4 linked regions of the Caenorhabditis elegans genome follow. The protein of the gene in region 4 purifies or fractionates together with the protein of the main gene of each other region. This does not show direct contact. Each region holds a gene or a part of one and is shown on either strand. Other genes may lie near its edges. The genes, in order: lip-1, gldi-6, sdz-15 and gst-5.

Region 1 (5,526 bases), on a different chromosome or scaffold from region 4:
ACCAAAAAACCAATTTATTTGTCATTCTGATTTCTGCAAAAAACACAAAAGTGGGGGAGGCCACTCCATTTTGGAGCTAATAATAGTGTGCTCCAAAAAAAACTTTTTCATCTATCTACGTCAAAACTTTTCGGCCGTCGTCCTATTTTTAGGCTCGTCGTTTCCTCTCCATTTTTTCCTTTTTTCGGCGGCGTCACAACGAATTAATGAATTTATTGGAGCGAAAACGTTGCTCCGACGGGGCGGAGAAGGGCACACTAGAATTTATGAATGGTGTGCTCTTCGAATAGAAAAAGAGCACCTGGAGGCAGCAATTGCTTCAGATTTTTTAAAATCTAGTTTCACACGTATAATCTTACGATCCTCTTCGATGTGCAATGTAAGCGACCGACATTTTATGGGGGTTTTCGAAATTTCAAAAACAACCCGTGAAACGTCGGATGCATTATATTTCCTGATTCTATGCAATAAACAGTTTATAGATCAAAAATCAGATCCCAATATTGCTAGAATCTCCCAAATGAAAATGAACTTGACCGTGGGAAAATTTTTAAAATATCTAGCCAAGGATTTGTAGACAAATCGTGCGAAAATCGGTCCAAAAAAACTCACATTCTTCGAGTGTTCTCTTCTCGAGATCCACCTCCGCGCCTATGATTTCTTCCTTCCATTCTTTTTTCTCTATTTCTCCAACCAAAAATAGTAAGGAAAAAATAGTGAAAAAATGAAGGTCACTTCCTTTTTTCTGTCTCTCTCTTTCCCATATCAATCACCTGATTTGCGATCATCGCCATGTCTTTTCTCGCCCTGTTATTTTGCTGCTAAGTTTGTTTTTTTTTTCAGTTTTTGTTGTTCTCCTACACCGCTTTCCGGTGTTTTCCCATTGGTTAGTGATTAATGATTACAAGTTGGAAATGCCAACATTTTGATCTGTTCCTATTGGTTTTAGAATTCTCGAGGTTTAAGGTTTTCATTTGAAATGGAAAGTATTCTTTAACTTAAGATCATACATTTTTTCCAGTATTCAACTCGTAGAGTATATAATCTAGTTTTACATATTCCCACATTTCCATAGTTTCACCATTATCTCCGACGGAAGCTGTACATGTTTTCCTAAGATTTTATTATAAAACTGATTATCATGAAAACTTATCATTACTGATAAGAGACGCATATTTCTCGTGGGCGCCAGCGCCCACGGATACCTAGGAACTCAAAAGTGAAATATTTCTTTTTGATATGAGCGCATGATGACGAGCCAAGGATTATCCCTCTCTCACAGCTTCTTTTCTTCGTCCCGTAGATCTGTTTGAGCCATTCTTAGCGAGGATTGTCGATTTAGCAGTCGACGCGCATGAATTTTGCTCAAAAACACTGATATTTATTGAGAATTTTCATGCTCCATTTTCAAAAAAAAAAGTCTCTGAGATATTTGCAGGTATTTTATTCGGATAATTTTTATTTTGTACTGGTGTGTCTTGTTGAAGGATGCCGCAGCACATTCAACTATCTAAAAAAACAGGCGAATTTTAATTTTATTAAATTTCAGTTCTTCAATTAAATAGTTTTGATTGAATTATGAATATTTTTATATATCTAGATTTGAAAATAAATTTCAAACCCATAAAAATTAAATATTCACATGTCGTTGCGCCATGCGCCTTTAAAAAATGACAGTACTTCCATAATTTCAAACGCGGGAAAAAATTAATTTGATTTTCTATTTTTTCGCTCATCACATCGATTTCCCAAATTTTCTCGAATTTTTTTTCTCAGAAGAGTTTTTGATTTTTTCTAAATTATCCCGCTGACGCTGCCCACTCACAGAATATTTTATTATCGATGAAATGACTCCTACGTATTTTCGTGTCTCCCCGCTGTTTCACCAGTGTTCTATTATTTCCAAATTTGATTTTTAAATTTTAACTTCACAATTTTTTTGCTATCAGATAAAATTTTTTTTAAAAATATTTTCAGATGACAACTCACCTACCGAGCACATCTCAAAATGGCGAAGAGATATCTGCTGAGCAATTCAACAGGTGATTTATTTAATTTAATAACAATTTAATCAATTTTTTATTTTCAGGATATTTCACGAACGCAACGTCATCGTTCTGGATTGTCGATCAAATGGTGATTCAGTGAAACGAGCCAATCGGTTAGTATTTTAAATTTATTTTTCTCGTAATCAAAAAATCTAAAAACCTTCTAAATAATAAACAATCTCGGTGTAGATTCTTTTGCAGTCTTCGATTACCGGCTCTCCTTCAACGCCGTTTAATGGGCGGTTCAATGCGACTTTCAACAGTACCTGATCTGAAGGATCTGAATGTGAGTTTATTATTATTATTTTTACACATTTATTTCAATAAAAACGGACAGAAAACATTAAAATTGTTCGAAAAATACTGAAAATCATTTTCAGAATTCTCCTGATCAATGTCCCGAAGTTCTTCTCATCCCCGGCGACAGTGAACAAGACGAGCAGCTCTCGGCAGCTTTAGCTCGAAATCTGAAATCCAACCACTATCGTCATTTTGTGCTCGGCGAGCCTGTCAAGACACTTCTCTCCCAGTTTCCGACCCTTCGTGATGCAGCCGACGAAAATTGGAACACCACGTTTCAAATGAACTCGATGCCGGGTCAAGCAAGTGGGCAACAAGCATCAAGTGGACCGCTTCTTAACTTAAAGTTAGTTTTTTTAATTAAAAACTTATTAAGTTATTTCTAATTTTTTTAAATTATAAAAATTAAAGATTCGATCCGTGAATTTTGATTGTGAAGAAATTTCATGTTTTCACAGCCAAATTAGCATGAAATATCTTTTCAATCTTATACGAATTAATTTTCATTCGAAAAAGGAAATAAATCAAGCAATATCGAAACTTTATTGAAAAAATAAACGAAAAAGCAGTGGAAATCGGCCCGACTCTATTTCTGTACGACGCTGCTTTTTTTCAAAATTTCCCAGATCGATCCTTTAATTTTAACAGTATAACCAGGTTTGAAGCTCCAAAAATGCATGTATTGTTAATTGAAAAAAATTCCAGAAAACAGTAGATAATTTTTATTTTCCAGCCAACTCCGATTGGAAGGTGAAGATCAAGGCGGAAAACAACGTGCAGAGTTTCCTGTAAAGTTAACCAATTTCTTGTATCTTGGAAACGCGGAGACCGCTAAAAATCGAGATGTTCTTAAAAAGTGACACTATTATTCGATATTATATATATTCTTAACAAAAAACCCAATTTTCAGATATTCTATCTCACATGTAATAAATGTCACATCAAATTTGCCAAACACGTTCGAAGAAGACCCAAATATGCGATATTTAAGAATATCGGCCGATGATAACGCTTCACATAATCTAACAAAATTCTTCCCTGGTTTGTAATTGATTTTTCTGAGTTTTCTTAAAAATATTCCTTTTCAGAAGCCATATCCTTCATTGATGATGCGCGACGCAACGATTCAGCATGTCTTGTGCATTGTCTGGCTGGAATTTCCAGAAGCGTTACAATATGTCTGGCGTATCTCATGAAGACTGAAATGTAATTTGATTTAGATTTTATAGATTAAAAAAAATTGATATTTTTCAGGTGTACTCTTGATTCTGCCTACGAATGGGTTCAAAAGAGAAATGCAAGCATTGCTCCAAATTTTCATTTTATGGGACAACTCACAGACTACGAGAAGATGTTGGGATTGAATAGCAATCGAGTCGGGGTTAGTAGGCAAGCTGTAAATTTTGATGTTCACTTTTTCTGCATTTTTAAATTAAAGAAAAAAGAGGAGAACTCCCCAGAATCAAGAATTTTAGCCGAAACTGCAGTTTAAACTGTAAAATCGTGCAGAAAAATACATACTGTGTTGTTCACGTGTAGTACACCGTAAATCGACACAGGTTGCTGCCTTTGTGGTTCAAATCCTACCCGTTGATTGCTTATCCGTTAGAATATTTTAATAAATCGTCCTTCTTCTACAAATGTTCTTTTAGTGATTTTTTCGTATTTCAGACATATCCTTCCTCGGCTCCTCGTTCTCCATCTTGTGCCATCGAAGCAGCAGCAGTATCACAAGTTGGAGGCCTTCTAACTCCACCACCAACAAGCTGTTCGGCGTCACCTCAATCGAGTAATCACTCGGCAAAGTCATTTCACTAGAAGAATTCACCCCTTCTTATAATTTTTCATCATATTTTTTCATCCATTTTTATCGTCCTCATGCAGCTAGATGTACAAATAATACAACTCTACTACCTGTTATGTTTCCTAGTTGTCATACCATTGTGATATTCTTTCTTTTTGGTAGATCCACTTCCTGTCCCATGACTGTCCTTTTTTATGTCTCGACGTTCTTTTCTCTTGTGAAATGACCCTACCATGATGCCTGTTTTACCAAATCAATAATTTTAAACCACCACCACCACAACGACACGTGTCTCTTTCCCTTTTCATTACCGTATAGTTCATTTCCCCCACTACGACACTTTCCATACAATCTCTGTACCTTATTTTTCTCTCATTTGTCAGACTTTCAAAATTGAGTTTTCTCTTTTTCCCATCATCTCCCCTAAAACCACTTTCCCGAGAAAATCCGCAACATTGTTATTGCCATGACCTTACTTTTCCCTCCCAATTCTCAATCAGCACCACCATTTCCTGCTATCACACTTTCTCCCCATTCACTGATTTCAGCCTCGTCTAATTCACCTAAATTTTCATAATTGTTCTCGATTTTATCTTTTTCTTCTCTCATTCAAATCACCGACTCTGAACTTTTTAGTGAACGCCGAGTCTTTGATTCCCCCCCCCCCCCCCCCAATTTAGTTGAAACATCTATATATACGCATACAAAAATGAAAAAATTCCTACAAAATCATATTTAGTTTTGTATGGTCAATGATTTCATCTTCCATTGTCGTCGCCGCGTGAAATTTGGAGTTTGTTATGACAATTGCTTCAGAAGTTTGTCCAAAATTGTTCAAAAATAAAATTGAAACAGCTGAAGCTTAAAATTATGTAGGCTCTGAAACGAATTTCTTAATTTTTAAAATTTTTGATTATTCCAAGAAATCGACTTTTAAACTTCATACATTCATCATAGATTATGTAAATTTGAACAGTACAAGAATTAAACGGCGATAGAAAAAAAGAAACATAATCGCCAACAGATGTGAACAATTGAGAAACCTGTGGAAACACGGAAACAGACAAAAAAAAAAGATTTTTGGACATCTGGGAGTACAGGAAACATATGGTTTTGAGAAGGTTAGAATTATTTGAAAATGCTCTGAAAGGAGATGAGATCAAATTGAAATGGGAGATGCATGGAAGAATATTATATTATGAATAAGAATCGATTATGAATTGACAATGAGATTTTCGATGTAATCCTTAATAAAACACGCATTCCACAATTCGAAATGGGATCAAATGGGTTAGTGTGAAATAATTAGATAGATGTCACGAAACAGTAAAAACTATGACATTGGTCGAATTTGTGAAATATCATATCAAAATG
Region 2 (7,596 bases), 7.5 Mb from region 4:
TCAAAATCTTCTGGCACATCTCCTGAGTGTCCTTGAGCAGTGCATTCCCCGCAGAGCTGGGTATCTGGAAAAATAAATTGATTTTTAAAATTGTTAGTTAGTTAATTAAACCTCTCTGAACTCATTCTGTATTCTCGAAGTTTCAGCGCAGAGCTTTTGGAATTCGGACATCAAATTGTTTGGCTCTGACATTTTTTAATCTAGAAAACACACATTTTTTGATAATTTTCGTTAATTTCCATAATTTTTCAAGTAAATTCGAAAAAAAACTCGCAAAATAATTGGAAATTCTCAAAAAACTCGACAAGAACCAAAAAACAAGAAAAATTTTCAGATAATTTTTCACAGGGAATTACGGTAGGTGGCGGAGTACGTAACGTGTTTGCGGACTATGCACCTGAAAATACGCGCATAAAAAATTGTTTTTTTTTTGCATTTTTTGTTTTGAACAAATCAAATATCCGAATGATTGTTGAAAACGTTGTTTGCGATAAAAACATCCAAAAAATTGTTGTCAAAAATTATTTATTTACATAATGGCAGATGGGAACTTTATACATTCTTTTAGAGAAAAAGTCGATAAAAATTAGAATTTAAGGGGAGAAAAGACCGAGTGTTGAGCCTTCTTGAATGTTGTAGTAGGCGAGAGTGTGGTCGTCTTCGAGAACTTTATCTGAAATGCAAATTTCATTTTACAGCTATTTTGCAACCAAGCAACCACGAAGCACCATTCTGAACGAGCTGATATCTACGTTTGCAAGTGAATTGATGGTCAGTTTGACTTGTCGAATTGTGTCCGATCCGCGCACCCAAAGATTTCGATAGTTTCCAGACGCTAATGTGCCATGCGAATCGGACCAGTAAACAAAAATATAAAAAAATGAGACATTCTTTGCCAATTCTCCAGTTTCAATTGGGACGTCATGCACAGCTGATCTTTGCATAATCTTCATCATCATTTGATTTTGACCTTCCTGAATTTTCAACATCATTTCCAGATTTTTATCCGAATTCCTGATAAGAAGATCATTCATCGATTTCTCCTGAGATTCCTTTTCATATCATTAGTCTCATTTTTGACAGTCTTCAATTCCGACATCAAATCTTCGATCAATTTATTTTGAGTTGCCTGGATTTTTTGAAATTCTTGCTTCATCTCGTCGTGATATTCGTCTTGTCTCTTCAAAATCTGAGTCTCTTGTTGCTTTTTCATATCACTAGTTTCTTTTTTGACAGACTCCAAATCCAATATCAAATGTTCAATGAATTTGTTTTGATTTTCCTGGGTTTTTTGAAATCCGTGTTGTTTCTTTAAAATTTTCTGGCACATTTCCAGGGTGTTCTTGTGCAGTTTATCTTCCACGTAGCCTGGTTTCTGGAAACAATTTGATTTTTTTCAACTTTAAATATGAAAATCTCACCTCTCTGAACTCATTTTGTATCTTGGAAGTTTCAACGCGAAGTTTTTGAAATTCAGTCATCAAACTGCTTGGCTCCGACATTTTGAAATCTGAAAAAAAATTATTAAGGCATCGTTGTAATTTTTGCAAATAAAACCACACTTTTTTAATTAATTTCGTTATTTTTACATAAAAATTTGGAAAAGACACCCGAAAAATAATTGGAAATTCTCAAAAAACTTATCAAAAACAAACAACACTGGGAAAAATGTTCGGACAAATTTTCAAGGGGACTACGGTAGGTGGCAGAGTCCGCAACGTGTTCGCAGACTCTGCACCTGAAAATACGCGCATAAAAAATTGTTTTTTTTTGTTGCAAATTAAAATAGGGAGTTTTTGATCGAATAAAATATTTGAATGACTGAAAATAACTATTAAAAATAAATTTTAAAAAACGATGATACGTTGTTCGTATTTATTTTAAGAAATGGGGAACTTTAGACAACATCTTGAACAAAAGTCGATAAAACATTATGATTTAATGAAAGAATACGCAAATTGTTGAGCCTTCTCGAATGTTGTAGTGGGCGAGAGTGTGGTCGTCTTCGAGAAATTTATCTGAAATGTAAATTTTATTTTAAAAAGCTACTTCGAGAAAAACCGACCATCACAGAACGTTCTGAACGAGATGGTATCTATTCCTGCAAGTGAATTGATGCGCGGTTTTATCTGTCGAATTGTATCCGATCCGCACACCCGAAGCTTCCCATGGTTCCCAGGAACTACTGGGCCACGCGAGTCGGTCCAGATGACCAAAATCTCAAAAAATGGGCCATTCTTTGCCGATTTTTCAGTTTCAATTGGGACGTCTTGCACAGCTGATCCTTCCTGCATCTTCATAATCATCAGATCCTGACTTTTTTGAATTTTCAGCATCATTTCCAGATTTTTATCCGAAATCTTGGCAACAAGATCATTCCACAAATTTGCCTGAGACTCCTGTTGCTTCGTTGCTTCATGCAGGTCACTTATTTGATTTTCGGTCTCATTTAGCTTTGATTTGGCAGTCTTCAATTCCGACATCAAATTTTCGATAAACGCGTTTTGATTTTCCTGGGATTTTTGAGATTTGCCTTGTTTCTTTAAAATCTGTTGGCAAATTTCCTGAGTGTTCTTGTGCAGTTTATCTTCCACGTAGCCTGGTTTCTGGAAACAATTTGATTTTTTAAAGTTTTAATTCTGATATTCTCACCTCTTTGAATTCATTTTGTATTTTGGAAGTTTCAACGCGTAGTTTTTGAAATTCAGACATCAAATCTCTTGGGTCCGACATTTTTAAATCTGAAAAAAAGCCATTTTAATAAAGTTTTCGTGTTTGAGGTTTAAGAGCTCATTCGGTGTAATTTTTGAAAATAAAACCGCATTTTTAGTTAATTTCTATATTTTTAAATAAAAATTCTGGAAAGACACTTGAAAAAGCATTGGAAAATTTTCAAAAAACTGAACAAGAACCAAAAACAAATTTTCAAGGGAACTACGGTAGGTGGCGGAGTACGCAACGTGTTTGCGGACTTTGCGCTTCAAATTACGCGCAAAAAATGTGTTTTTTTGCAAATTACATAAAATAGGGATTTTTTTGAGAAAATGGGAAAAAACCTACTTTTTTGTTGAATTCGGCACCGTTTTGTGCTGTTGGACGCGTTTCCGTTGCGGTTTTGTGATATTCTGCAACAAAAAATATATTTTTATCGATAAAAATGAGAAAAAACGAGAAAAAACGAAGATAAATGAGCTTAGCAGCCAAATTAAAAATGTACAGTTTCTCCTTGCTGATTCATCATCATCATCTGATCCTGACGTTTATGAATTATCCATATCGATTCTAGAATCAGTTCCAAATTTTCATCCGAATTCTTGGCAAGAAGACCATTTATTTGATTTTTCGTCACATTCAGCTCGGCTTTGACAGTCTTCAATTCCGACATCAAATTTTCGATCAATTTGTTCTGCTTTTCCTGGATTTTTTGAAATTCTTGCTTGATTTTGTAGTTATGTTTGAAAAATTCTTGCTTCATCTCATCTTGAAATTGGTCTTGTTTTTTCAAAATTTTTTGGCTCATTTCCAGAGTCTCTTTGATCAGCTTATGATCCGCAGAGCTGGGTATCTGGAAGAAAACTGATTTTTAATTATTTGTGAGTTCGAAAACTAAACCTCTTTGAACTCATTCTGAATCTTGGAAGCTTCAACGCGAAGTTTTCGAAATTCAGACATCAAATCGCTTGGCCCCGACATTTTGAAATCTGAAAAAAAAAACATTTTGAAAGGTTTTCGTGTTAAACCGCTTAACAAAGCTGATTCTAGACAATTTTTGCAAATAAAACCACATTTTTTAGTTAATTTCGATATTTTTAAGGGAAAATACGGAAAAGAAACTCGAAAAATCATTGGAACTTTTCAAAAAAAAAAACTGAACAAGAACCAAGAAAACCGGAAAAGATGTTCAGGCAAATTTTCATTGGAAACTACGGTAGGTGGCGGAGTACGCAACGTGTTTGCAGACTTTGCACTTAAAATTACGCGCAAAAATTTTTTTAAAAAAGTTTTTTTGCAGTTTTGAATTTTGATCAAGGAAATATCCAAATGATTGCAAAAATAATTTTAAATAATTAAATATGTGAAAATCGAAAAATATGTTTTAATTTTTTCAATCGGCAAATAAAGTGAGGGAGCTATAAATTATTCACAAGAAAAAATCGATAAAATTCAAAAAATTATAGCGGAATCAGGTCAAGTGTTGAGCCTTCTTGAATTTGTAATAAGCGATAGTTTGGTGGTCTTCGAGAAGTGTATCTGAAAGTATAATTAAAAAATTATGAAGAAAGGGGGATTTAAACTAACAAACAAAGAACAATCTGTACAATTCGGTTCTCAGTTTTATTGGACTGGACTGCATAATAAGTGCCTTGATCCGCACTTTAAGATCACGAATCGTATGCGCATCGAACACGAGATGATTGTACTTTCTTCCATATACGGATGCATTAGGACCTCCATGCAAATGTACAGTAATCTTGAAAAATGGTTTTTTATTATCCAATTTTTTATCTTCAATTGGGGCTTCCAGCGGTGTTTTCACAGGTGCAACTGATTCTTCGATCTTCTTCGCAAATTCTCCTTCCTGAATCTTCATCTGATCTTGACTTTTCTGAATTTTCAGTATCATTTCCAGATTGTTATCCGAAATCTTGGTAGGAAGACCATTTATTTGATTTTTCGTCTCAATCAGCTCTGTTTTGACAGTTTTCAATTCCGACATCAAATTTTCGAACAATTTGTTTTGATTTTCTTGGATTTTCACAATTATTTATTCGCAAACTGCCGGGAACTTTAGTATCGGCAATAATTTAAAAAAATCGATAAAAAATTATGAGCTGGAGAATTCCATGAACTTGAGGATTCTGAAACAAAAAAAGATTCATTAATTGTCATTAACGGTGAAATTCAAGTTGAAAATGAGCAAAAATGGAGAATTATGAGAATACGCGAATTGTTGTACGAAATGTTGTAGTGAGCGAGAGTGTGGTCGTCTTCGAGAATTTTATCTGAGATGCAAATTTTATTTTAAAAAGCAATTTCGAAAACAACCGACCATCACAGTACGAGCTGAACGAGCCGATGTCTATTCCTACAAGTGAATTGATGCGCAGTTTGATTTGTCGAATTGTGTTCGATTCGTACACTGGTAGTTTCCTGCGGTTTTCAGACACGAATATGCCACCCGGAATGGACCAGGAAACAAAAATCTTAAACATTGAGTCATTCTTTGCCAATTCTCCAGATTCAATTGGGACGTCTTTCACAGCAGCTCCTTCTTGAATCTTCATCATAATCCGATCTTGACCTTCCTGAATTTTCAGCATCATTTTCAGATTATTATTCGAATTCTTGGTTAGAAGATCATTCATCGATTGTGCCTGAGACTCCTGTTGCTTTGTTGCATTATGCAGGTCACTTATTTGATTTTTAGTCTCATTCAGCTCTGTTTTGAGAGTTTTCAATTCCGACATCAACTTTTCGATCAATTTGTTTTCATTTTCCTGGATTTTCAGAAATTCTTGCCTAATCTCATCTTGAAATTCGTCTTGTTCCTTCAAAATCTGAGTCTCTTGTTGCTTTTTCATATCACTAGTCTCATTTTTGACCATCTCCAAATCCAATATCAAATTTTCGATCACCCTGTTTTGATTTTTCTGGGTTTTTTGACAATCGTGTTTTTTCAAAATCTTTTTTTTCACTCGGGAATCGTTCGCCCACTATGGGGGAGTCTGCGCAAGGACAAGCAAGGACAAGGACAACATTCTAATGGAATGGAAACAACTGCCCGACTGCACCAATTCTAGTTCAAGCGAACAATGATAACTTTTGTATTCTGTATTCCTTCACGTCTCCCAGCGAGCGTAATAAATTATTATTATTATTCTCACCTCTGTGAATTCATTGTATATCTTGGAAGTTTCAACGCGAAGTTTTTGGAATTGAGACATCAAACTGCTTGTCTCCGACATTTTTAAATCTGAAAAAAAAAAGCTTTTTGATAATTTTTGAAATGCAAAGAAGTTCCTAGTTAACTTTTCTAATTTCCCAGGTAAATTCGAGAAAAAACTCTCTAAAAACTGAACAAGAACCGAAAACCAAGAAAGTTGCTTTTATTTTTGAGTAAATCAAATATCCAAATGATTGCAGAATCATTTTTAAAAAAAATCTGTGAAAAGCGAACAATTTTAGTTAACAATTATTTATTCGCAAAATAACAATATCTTGAAAAAAGTGAATGAAAATTAGAATAATTATGATTCAACGAGAGTATAGCCAAATTAATGCGCCTTCTTGAATGTTGTAGTAGGCGAGAGAGTGGTGGTCTTCGAGAAGTTTTCCTGAAATTCGAATTTTATTTTTAAATCTACTTTGAAACCAACCAACCACGAAGCACCATTCTGAACGAGCTGATGTCTACTTTTGCAAGTGAATTGATGCGAAGTTTGATGTGTCGAATTGTATCCGATCCGCACACGCGAAGTTTCCAGTGGTTTTCAGACGCGAATATGCCACACGATTCGGTCCAGATAACCAAAATCTCAAAAAATGGGTCAATTTTTGTCAATTCTACAGTTCCAAGTGGGACGTCTTGCACAGCTGATCCTTCCATAATCTTCATCATAATCTGATCTTGACTTTTCTGAAATTTCAATATCGATTCTAAAATCAGTTTCAAGTTTTTATCCGAATTGTCGATCAATTTTTCCTGAGACTCTTGTTGCTTTTTCGTCTCATTCAGCTCTGCTTTGACAGTCTTCAATTCCGAATTCAAATTTTCGATCGATTTGTTTTGATTTTCCTGGACTTGCTGAAATTCGTCTTGTTTTTTAAAAATCTTCTGGATTATTTCGAGAATCTCAAGAAGATCCTTAATTGATGTCGCCTGTTTCAGTTCTTTTTTCACAGATTTCAACTCCGACATCACGTTCTGCTGAATTTGCTTCATCTCATCGTTGAATTCGAATTGTTTTTCCAAAAGCTTCTCGCTTATGTCCAGAGTCTCTTTGAACAGCGTATAGCTGGGTTTCTGGAAGAAAATTGATGTTCTTATAATGTGTAAGCTCGAAAACTAAACCTCTTTAAACTCATTCTGTATCTTGGAAGCTTCAACGCGAAGTTTTTGAAATTTAGACACCAAATTGCTCGGCTCCGACATTTTGGAATCTGAAAAAAAACATTTTTTGAGATATTGGTGTTTTAGCGGTTACAACAGCATGCTTGCGAATAAAACCACATTTTCTGGCGTAATTAGATATTTTCTAGAACAATTCGGAAAATAAACTCCAAAAATCTCAAGAAAACTGAACAAAATTGAAAAACTGAAAGGAAAAATGTTCACGAACGAAATTTTCGAAGAAACTACGGTAGACGAGGAAGTACGCAGAGTGTTTACGGACTTTGCATTGCAAATGACGCGCATTGCTCATATTAAAAATTTTTTTTTTTTTTTTTTAATTTCAAATCTCTTCTCATTACAGTCTAATGCTTACAAACTGATTTTCAATGCCAGAAAAACGCGAAATGCTTTGAAATATAATATTTTCAGAATTGTTCGCGAAAAATGGACAACTCGAATAATGTGATGTCGAAATTGCAGAA
Region 3 (3,787 bases), on a different chromosome or scaffold from region 4:
TTTTAATCTTACCAGAGTCCCCGAAATGGTGAACCCTCACTTTTCTTAATTAATTATATTTTTTAATCTGAAGTTTTAGGTTTAATACCAAAAAGAGATTTCGAGACGCAAGGGCGGCTGAGAAACGTGTTGCATGGCTATCAGGGATCCCATACGTCAATGACGAAGATCAAAGTATAGAAATATCTGAAAAACTAGAAGAGAAGAGTACGAAGATCTATACAATGAAAGATTTATTCACTTCCTGGACAATTGCATATCGTACAATTGTGGTCGGATCTTTGTGGTTCTCTACAAGTTTATCAGCGTTTGGTTCTGACTTGAATTCTGGGAATTTGGCTGGAAATTTTTATTTGAGTCAGTTTGTGTCCGGTGCGGTGACCGCATTTGCAAAAATTGTGAGTGCATTTTGAAGTTATTAACTAAAATGTAAAGTAATGATCACATTATTTTCCTAGTTGTACGTCTCACTTAAATTTAGAATTGAAGCTGTGTCTCAAATAGACTCAGAAATAGTGAACAATATTTTCGGCCGAACTTTGAATGTTTTATAGCACTTTTGTTAATAATTATTTCAGTTTGTATTCCTATTGGATACCTATGTTCCATCATTTGACCGTCGGCGTCTACACCAATATCCTCAAATTGCCATGATTTTATGTTATTGTGTTATCATGGTTCTGATGATTCTTCCTGAATCAGACTGTGGAAGTCAAGGATCTCGCGATTTGGCTAGTAAGTTTGCCTGCAAATTAAGGTTTCCACTGTGAGCAGGCTCGCCTACATGCCTATTTTATTTTGGGTGCAATTAGAAAAAAGATTGTGGTTACAAACAAGTCCCTTGTTTTTTAGAGTTCTACAAATAATGTATTTTAGTCATCATAATTAACATCATCGGTGTTTCCTTCATTGAGATCACATGGGATGCATGTTATCTTGTAGCAGTGGAATGTTTCCCAACTAAAATTAGAACTATTGGTAAGTTAGTTTTGAATCTTTTAACATCAAATTATCTATTTTCAGGTATCGGTACATGCTCCCTACTTGCCAGAACCGGAGCCTTACTTGCTCCTCAAATGGCTTATCTCTCTGATATCTATCGACCAGCTCCGTACGCAGTTGTTTGCTCAATTGGTACAATTTCCCTCCTGATATCTTGTGTTTTCCTACCAGACACAAAAGGAGTTGATTTGGCAGCACTTGATCCAACTGAAGAACTTGATTACGATAGAAAGAAGAGCATGACGGAGAATATTGTGATTCAGAGAAAAAGAACAGGAACTTTGGCGGCTGCTAGATTATCAATTGTTGAAAATAATATAAATGCATAAAAATAGAACATACTAAACATAACAAATTGTGCACAAAAAGTGCTGTTTTTTTTTATTACGGGACACATGTTGTAAGTATCTGCACCCAGTTTTTTGAACACTTATTTCAAAAGATATTGCAAGAAACAAAATACCAAACAAGAATGCTCGATTACTTGATGCAAGTACACTCTCTGAAAATGCCACTGAAAAATTTAAAATTGGAAATGATGATCAATACAAAATGTCTATATAGTATTTGGAAAGAAAAGGATACTCCAATCGATCAATAACGTAGACACCATCAGCCACGCCTTCTTACACATCGTCTCATTTCTCATAGTCATTACCATATTATCATCAGGAGAGCGTCCGTATTGCCTTCTCCAGGGGAGACTCGAACATTTTCGTTTACAACTATTTTTAGACATTCATTCTTGTATTCTACAGTCTCTGTACCTTGTCATCTTGTGAATATTCTCTCATTATGCTTTCTCCTTCTTCGTCTACCGTCCCAGCCTTTGGTCTCCACAAACTCCCTCACTTGGTCTCGGATAAAGTGGTGAAGTCAATGGTCCCAATGGAACTGTGAGTTTATTTTAATTTTGTTTTTAAATTTGAAAAATTGTATTTTAATTCTTCACATTTTATATTATATTGCATAAACAAGAACTTTAAAAAATCCCCAATAGGGATTTTTTGAATTTGTTGAGTATTTTGGAACATAACTCTCAAAACTTATATAAATATAGATTCAAATTTACAAACATAACTGCACCTTTCTAATCATTTCGATACATTTTCTAAAATTATTTTCATTTTAAGATTTACCTACTCCATGGTAGCCGAAGAAACAAAGGCTCTCGTGAAACGGCTCTTCAAAAAAGTTTCATTTCAAGTGAGCATCTTTGTTCAAGAGCAAGACTATTCAGTGTCTTTTGGACAAATCGGAGGAGCTATATCCAATCTTGGATGTGAAGTTTTGAGCCAAGAAAGTGAGCAAGTTAATGGAACACAAATATGGAAAATGGACGAGAATACTGAAGTACAAATGGAACATTACTACGATGGTCAGATTTGTAGAAGCTATTGGAAGATGAAGAAGGAAACTGAAGCGATCTTAAAAGTTCTAGACTATCTCCGATCAGTGTTCAATGTGAAAGAAGTTTCAGTCAGCTTTTCTATTGATGAGAAATATGATGCTGTGGAGTTCTTGAAGTCGGTTAAAAATCGAGGAGTTCAACTCAAAAATGTGAATATTACTGGCTTTGAAGTAACGTTGGAAGCGGAGGCTTATAAAAATCTCCTTAATGAATGTACAGAAACATCTGAACTCAACGTTGCCCCTCACGTAAACTGGGGATTTGAGTATCCTGTTTCAAACTTTTCCAACTTTTGCCAAAAGTTTTTGACAATTGAGCATGCTCATTGGGTGACTGTTCATCATTTGAAATCTTTGAGAAACTGTGCGTCTGTAACTCTTAACAATTCAAAGTTGACAAATCAGAACTTGAATTGGTTTCTTCGAGAATGGATGGAAATGAGCGGAGCTTCGTTGCGAAACGTGGATTTGGAAGTTAAACAACTCGATTTACCACGGATTATTAATGGATTGAAATGGACAATAAAGGAAGGAATTATCTCGGGATTCGGAGGGTGAGTAATATTTTCAGTGTTTGCTAGGATGAAGAATTTAGTAGATCTAAAAATCGCATCTCTATATTCAAATTTAAAACTTAACTATACAACAAACTATTTCAGATTCCAAAAACTACCACCAGGAGATTGTTTTGAGATTCAACGAATTGACGGAGTCAAAGCGACAATTTCTCGAATCGGAGAACGTTTTCTGATGACCAGAGATTGATTATTAATAATAATAATAATTCCCAATGTGGTTTTCTAATAAATTGCCTAATTGTTCTAATAATATACTGAAATGAAAGTTTTTTTTTTCGAATAAATTGTTTTCTATCTATTTATTGCTATCGGAATCACAAAAAAAAAATTCTCTACACATTCTTTAACCTATTTTGAAAGATAAGCTGAAAGACACATTCTACATTGAAAAATAATCGTCAACCAATCAGCGATTTTTGCCACGCCCCGTGCTCGTTTCTCATTGGTCGCCGGGATATTCAATTGCGCGCGAACTTGAATTTCACCTAGGCAAATGAATATCGTTCTCGACATTTATTTAAAACTTCATTGTTGCGAAAATCGACCGTTGACCTATACTTTTCCGGTTTCATGATTTAATCAGCTAACCCATTTCCGATCTTTCAATTTTTTAATCCCCTCCGTTTAACTTCAGAACTACCTATAGGTCGCGTTTACTGATAAACCTAAAAAGCCTGATAAGCCTAATTCGAGACGAAAATTTGTCATTTGCCTGTGCAAATTGTTTTATCAAAGTGAGTTAGGCAAATACGGTTTGTCCATTTAGGCATGTCGTTTCTGAATATTAATCGCTTTCA
Region 4 (3,695 bases):
GCTGCTGCTTCTGCTTCGGAACCGCTTCCGAATTTGCGAGACTTCACACTTTGCCAGCTCCACGGAAAGATGATCGTGGACCATGGTCCGATCACTGCTCGAAGAAAAGGGGAAGAGTTGTGTAAGTTTGTTGAAATTTCCGACCTTCAACAGATATTATCATTTTTCAGATGCCCAAAACTTCGCTCAATGGTCTGTGGAATCTGTGGAGCCACTGGCGATAACGCACACACAACGAAGCATCACCTGGAGGCGTTTGGAGACGACTAATATGTATATATAATATATATTTTTCGAAAGATGTTCGTGTTATATTTTTATGCATCCACATTATATTCACATAATCTATTTACATATCCCACCATGTTTTATCCTGCCCCCCGAAAATTCACATTTATTCGCACCTCCTCGCATATTGATCTCGAAATTGTTTAATTTTCTTTTTGTTGATTTTCTTCATTTTTTGTTCTCTGTTTTCTGTTCTCCAATTCTCCAGTTGTATTATCGCTTAGCGAACACTGTTGACATGTTGATAAACTGAATTTAAAAAAAAAAAATATTTATTTGCAGATTTTATACAGCTATTTAGAATGGTGTGACTGGACGGGTCTCGATCCATTTCTTGATTTGTGGAATCGCCTGGATCTTCTCGGCATGAGCCTTGAGCTCTGGGAACTTGCTGAAATCACCTCCCTTGGCAATCAAATCAGCTGAATGTTGGGCAATAGCCAAGTCAATCCAGGTCAAAGAGTCTCCGACAAGGAATCCGGATCCCGAAGCCTTCAAGAAGTTGACCAAGAATCCGTAGAACTTTTCAAATGCTGGAAGGAAGATGTCTTTCTTCAAAGTTTCAACGTCTCCTGGACCGAATCCCATGACAGCGTAGAAATATGGACGAGCCTCACTTGAATAATCCTTGTATTGATCGGCAAGAGAGTTCACTTGAGCCTCTTCCCAGGCGGTTTTTCCGTTGAGCTTGAACTCACGAGCCAAGAAACGAGCAATCGCGTGGGATTGAGCAAGCTTCTTACCGTCGACTTCGAGGAATGGAAGTTGTCCGAATGGAGCAGCGCAGGCTGGAAAAAATAGTTTTTTAAAATATTTTTTATTCAAAAAATAATTCTCTTGGATTAAAAAAAGGAAAAGATTTTAAGCTATTTTACAAAGTTATTTTACAAAAAATTTAGCTTATGTTTGAGAAAATTATGGAAAAAGTATAGTTTTTCAAAAGAAGTGAATTCTTTAATTGGTCAAAAATGTAGAAATCGTGTCGAGACCACGAGAAGTGATTTTTTTCGCTTTTCATGTTTTTGTTCCACAAAACTGTAGATATTCCCTAATTGCAGGATTTTGAGATTTCCGGCGCTGAAATACGGTAACTATAGGTCTCGGCACGACCGAAATTTCACTGGTACCGTACCCAAAACTGCAATTCACTTAATTTTTTAATACTAACCCAAAAAATATGATTTTTTGTAGAAAAAAATCAGGAAAAAAATCATAGAAAATCGCAAAAAAAAATTTGGTTACGGTAACTGCGAATTTTAAGTCGTTTCGAGACCCAGGCGCCTTCACAATTGAGTAATAATAATTCCAAACTCACTTTCTTTCAATGCTGGCCATTGTTCCTGAGTGACTCTATTATCCTCGTATTGTTGTCCGGCATAGGCGAAAATCTGACGAGACACTTCTCCAGCGCCACGTCCATTGAAGTAGGTCAACTTGTAGGAAACCATAATGATTTTTGATTGAAGTTGTGTTTTTTTGGAAAGTGGATTGCAAACAAACAATTGTGAGGGAAATTGGAAACTTCACTCTCTATTTATACTCATTCGACCACGTCGCTTTTTGTGTCTGAACCTCTCACTTCTCTCACAATTGTCATCAAAAACGTAGGGTCGGGAAGGCTACAAACCACGAAATGGGCGGAGCCCTGAAATTGTGGTGGTCTTTCGGAAAGAGAATTCAGTGGACCAGGTGAAAAGAGGGATATTTCGAAATTGTTGGAAAAAAATCATCATGAATTTTCAAATGTCATCAAAAAATTTAATGGAAAGCTCTAGATTCTAGTTTTGTGGAATTTTTTTTTAATATTACCTAGACCTAAAGTTTTGCACAAAAAAAAATACGGTACCCGGTCTCGAAGCGACATTTTTGCTGAAAATAAGAACGGATGTGCGCCTTTAAAGAGTACTGTAGATACAAAATTTTTTGCTGTGGTCTCATTGATTTTTCACAATTTATGTGTTCTCAATTGTTTTGTTTTAGTTTTTTGTTTAATAAATACATATATTTTGAACGAGAAACTATGAAAATTCCGCAACAACGAAAGGTTGAAATTACAGTACTCTTTCAAGGCGCACATCAGCTTGTATTTTGCGAAAAAGTTGTCGTGTCGAGACCGGATACCGTGTTTTTGGCTCGAGAATCGCAAAGTATCACGAACATATCTCTGAATTCAAGCCTAATCAATCACTTTTTGTTTCAAAAAAAAGTATGTTATCAACATCAACTACAAATTTCACAACACCGATCACATAAAGACACAAAAAAATACACACAGACTCCAGAAATGTGCTTTGACAGGAAAACTGATATGAAAAGAAATGTGATTAATGTTTCGGTGTTTGTTTCTTTTTGCCATTTGAATTTCTGTCTGCAAGTTTCAATTGGAAAAAATCATTATGTAGGCATTATGACTGAAGGTAGGCAGACATGTAGGCAAAAAGGCAAGCAGGAATTTTTTAGGCTGTACCTGACTACCGAAAGCTATCAATCTGATAGAAATACTGAAGGGTACGGTAGGATCGCGTGTACTATAGACTTCTGGAATGTCCATGGTTACTTTGTTTTTATGAATAAACTCCTAAAAAATTTCCAAACCAAATCATGTAAACCTTTATAAACGTCACTAAATAAATTACTATTTCGAAAACTACAACGGTAGACTTCTCGAAAAGTTCTCTAATCCTCCAATTCTTCATTCGTCGAATCCGACTCCTTTTCAGCCTTTTCAGTTGTCTGAATATCTGCCACCACTTCCGTTTCCGGCTCCCTTTTGTGATGCATTTCCGTATAACTCGCGAGATTTGGCATCTCAACTCCGTTTGATCGCTTCTTCGGTGGACTCGATCGTAGAATATCGAAAAGGGGCATTTTCAGCACGTCAATCGCGGATTTTCTCTTTTTCGGATCGATTTTCAGTGTTGCTTTCATGAAATCGTAGATTTCCGAGTCGAGCATCTTGCTGGTGAACTGAAATTAAATTTTATTTGAATTTAAAATAATTTGAAACTGGCGCCAATTTGTTTTCAGTGGAGCGCGACATTGCGCGCGCGCGTGTGTACTTCTCGTGGACAAGTGTGCTTTGTTTCGCTTCTTTTTTAGTTTTATTGGTTTTTTCTTTAATTTTTACCGTTTCTATTCCTCTCGCATCTTTTCTTGCAACTCTAGGCCTTTTTACTCCAATGCTTTTAATATCATCGTCTGTAGGATATCCGAAAACTCCAGTTATCAACACAATCTGGAAATTAGCTAAATTACCATGTTTTCCAGTTTTTGACTGTAACTACCTGATCTTTAGTGTCCTTTCCTTTAAAAAGAACTCGATTAGCGAAAAGTTCAAACGCCACACAAGTTGCTGACCAAATATCTGAGAAATATACATTTAAATAATTTTTGAAACACAATTTTTA

What was found.
Region 1: the proteins of gst-5 (region 4) and lip-1 purify together in Caenorhabditis elegans (affinity purification with mass spectrometry, with the first as the bait; one large-scale study listed by BioGRID). This does not show direct contact.
Region 2: the proteins of gst-5 (region 4) and gldi-6 purify together in Caenorhabditis elegans (affinity purification with mass spectrometry, with the first as the bait; one large-scale study listed by BioGRID). This does not show direct contact.
Region 3: the proteins of gst-5 (region 4) and sdz-15 purify together in Caenorhabditis elegans (affinity purification with mass spectrometry, with the first as the bait; one large-scale study listed by BioGRID). This does not show direct contact.

What each region holds. Positions count from the first base shown.
Region 1 is NC_003282.8:6,840,987-6,846,512, forward strand, and holds lip-1 (Dual specificity protein phosphatase lip-1), read left to right. Parts: upstream 1-1,971; 5' UTR 1,972-1,977; coding exon 1,978-2,042; exon of another isoform or gene 2,043-2,043; intron 2,044-2,089; coding exon 2,090-2,161; intron 2,162-2,237; coding exon 2,238-2,334; intron 2,335-2,428; coding exon 2,429-2,694; intron 2,695-3,081; coding exon 3,082-3,204; exon of another isoform or gene 3,205-3,258; coding exon 3,259-3,389; intron 3,390-3,436; coding exon 3,437-3,554; intron 3,555-3,602; coding exon 3,603-3,729; coding exon of another isoform or gene 3,730-3,840; exon of another isoform or gene 3,841-3,978; intron 3,979-4,019; coding exon 4,020-4,166; 3' UTR 4,167-5,025; downstream 5,026-5,526.
Region 2 is NC_003280.10:3,445,327-3,452,922, reverse strand, and holds gldi-6 (Ubiquitin-like domain-containing protein), read right to left. Parts: upstream 5,977-7,596; 5' UTR 5,967-5,976; coding exon of another isoform or gene 5,886-5,966; intron 5,307-5,885; coding exon of another isoform or gene 5,051-5,306; intron 5,004-5,050; coding exon of another isoform or gene 4,903-5,003; exon of another isoform or gene 4,755-4,902; intron 4,718-4,754; coding exon of another isoform or gene 4,300-4,717; intron 4,252-4,299; coding exon of another isoform or gene 4,184-4,251; intron 3,694-4,183; coding exon of another isoform or gene 3,613-3,693; intron 3,566-3,612; coding exon of another isoform or gene 3,218-3,565; intron 3,126-3,217; coding exon of another isoform or gene 3,057-3,125; intron 2,742-3,056; exon of another isoform or gene 2,734-2,741; coding exon of another isoform or gene 2,653-2,733; intron 2,607-2,652; coding exon of another isoform or gene 2,066-2,606; intron 2,019-2,065; coding exon of another isoform or gene 1,939-2,018; exon of another isoform or gene 1,865-1,938; intron 1,511-1,864; 5' UTR 1,503-1,510; coding exon 1,422-1,502; intron 1,376-1,421; coding exon 1,031-1,375; 3' UTR 719-1,030; intron 674-718; 3' UTR 511-673; downstream 1-510. Other genes in the region: C16C8.12 (SKA2 domain-containing protein), read right to left, coding at 1-64, 112-192; C16C8.14 (Ubiquitin-like domain-containing protein), read right to left, coding at 1,939-2,018, 2,066-2,606, 2,653-2,733; C16C8.25 (DUF4200 domain-containing protein), read right to left, coding at 3,057-3,125, 3,218-3,565, 3,613-3,693; C16C8.21 (Ubiquitin-like domain-containing protein), read right to left, coding at 4,184-4,251, 4,300-4,717; C16C8.20 (Ubiquitin-like domain-containing protein), read right to left, coding at 4,903-5,003, 5,051-5,306, 5,886-5,966; C16C8.16 (Ubiquitin-like domain-containing protein), read right to left, coding at 6,256-6,335, 6,382-7,024, 7,073-7,153; C16C8.5 (Ubiquitin-like domain-containing protein), read left to right, coding at 7,559-7,596.
Region 3 is NC_003281.10:6,496,847-6,500,633, forward strand, and holds sdz-15 (Skn-1 dependent zygotic transcript 15 protein), read left to right. Parts: upstream 1-1,629; 5' UTR 1,630-1,797; coding exon 1,798-1,898; intron 1,899-2,135; coding exon 2,136-2,966; intron 2,967-3,071; coding exon 3,072-3,177; 3' UTR 3,178-3,264; downstream 3,265-3,787. Other genes in the region: F23F12.13 (Major facilitator superfamily (MFS) profile domain-containing protein), read left to right, coding at 1-28, 80-398, 579-735, 877-978, 1,024-1,331; F23F12.3 (SLC22 family MFS transporter), read left to right, coding at 3,759-3,787. UniProt on the Caenorhabditis elegans protein: May have a role in embryogenesis.
Region 4 is NC_003280.10:10,948,454-10,952,148, reverse strand, and holds gst-5 (putative glutathione S-transferase 5), read right to left. Parts: upstream 1,798-3,695; 5' UTR 1,737-1,797; coding exon 1,604-1,736; intron 1,077-1,603; coding exon 586-1,076; 3' UTR 546-585; downstream 1-545. Other genes in the region: nos-1 (Nanos-type domain-containing protein), read left to right, coding at 1-121, 171-270; Putative serine/threonine-protein kinase gskl-1, read right to left, coding at 2,965-3,255, 3,416-3,523, 3,573-3,652.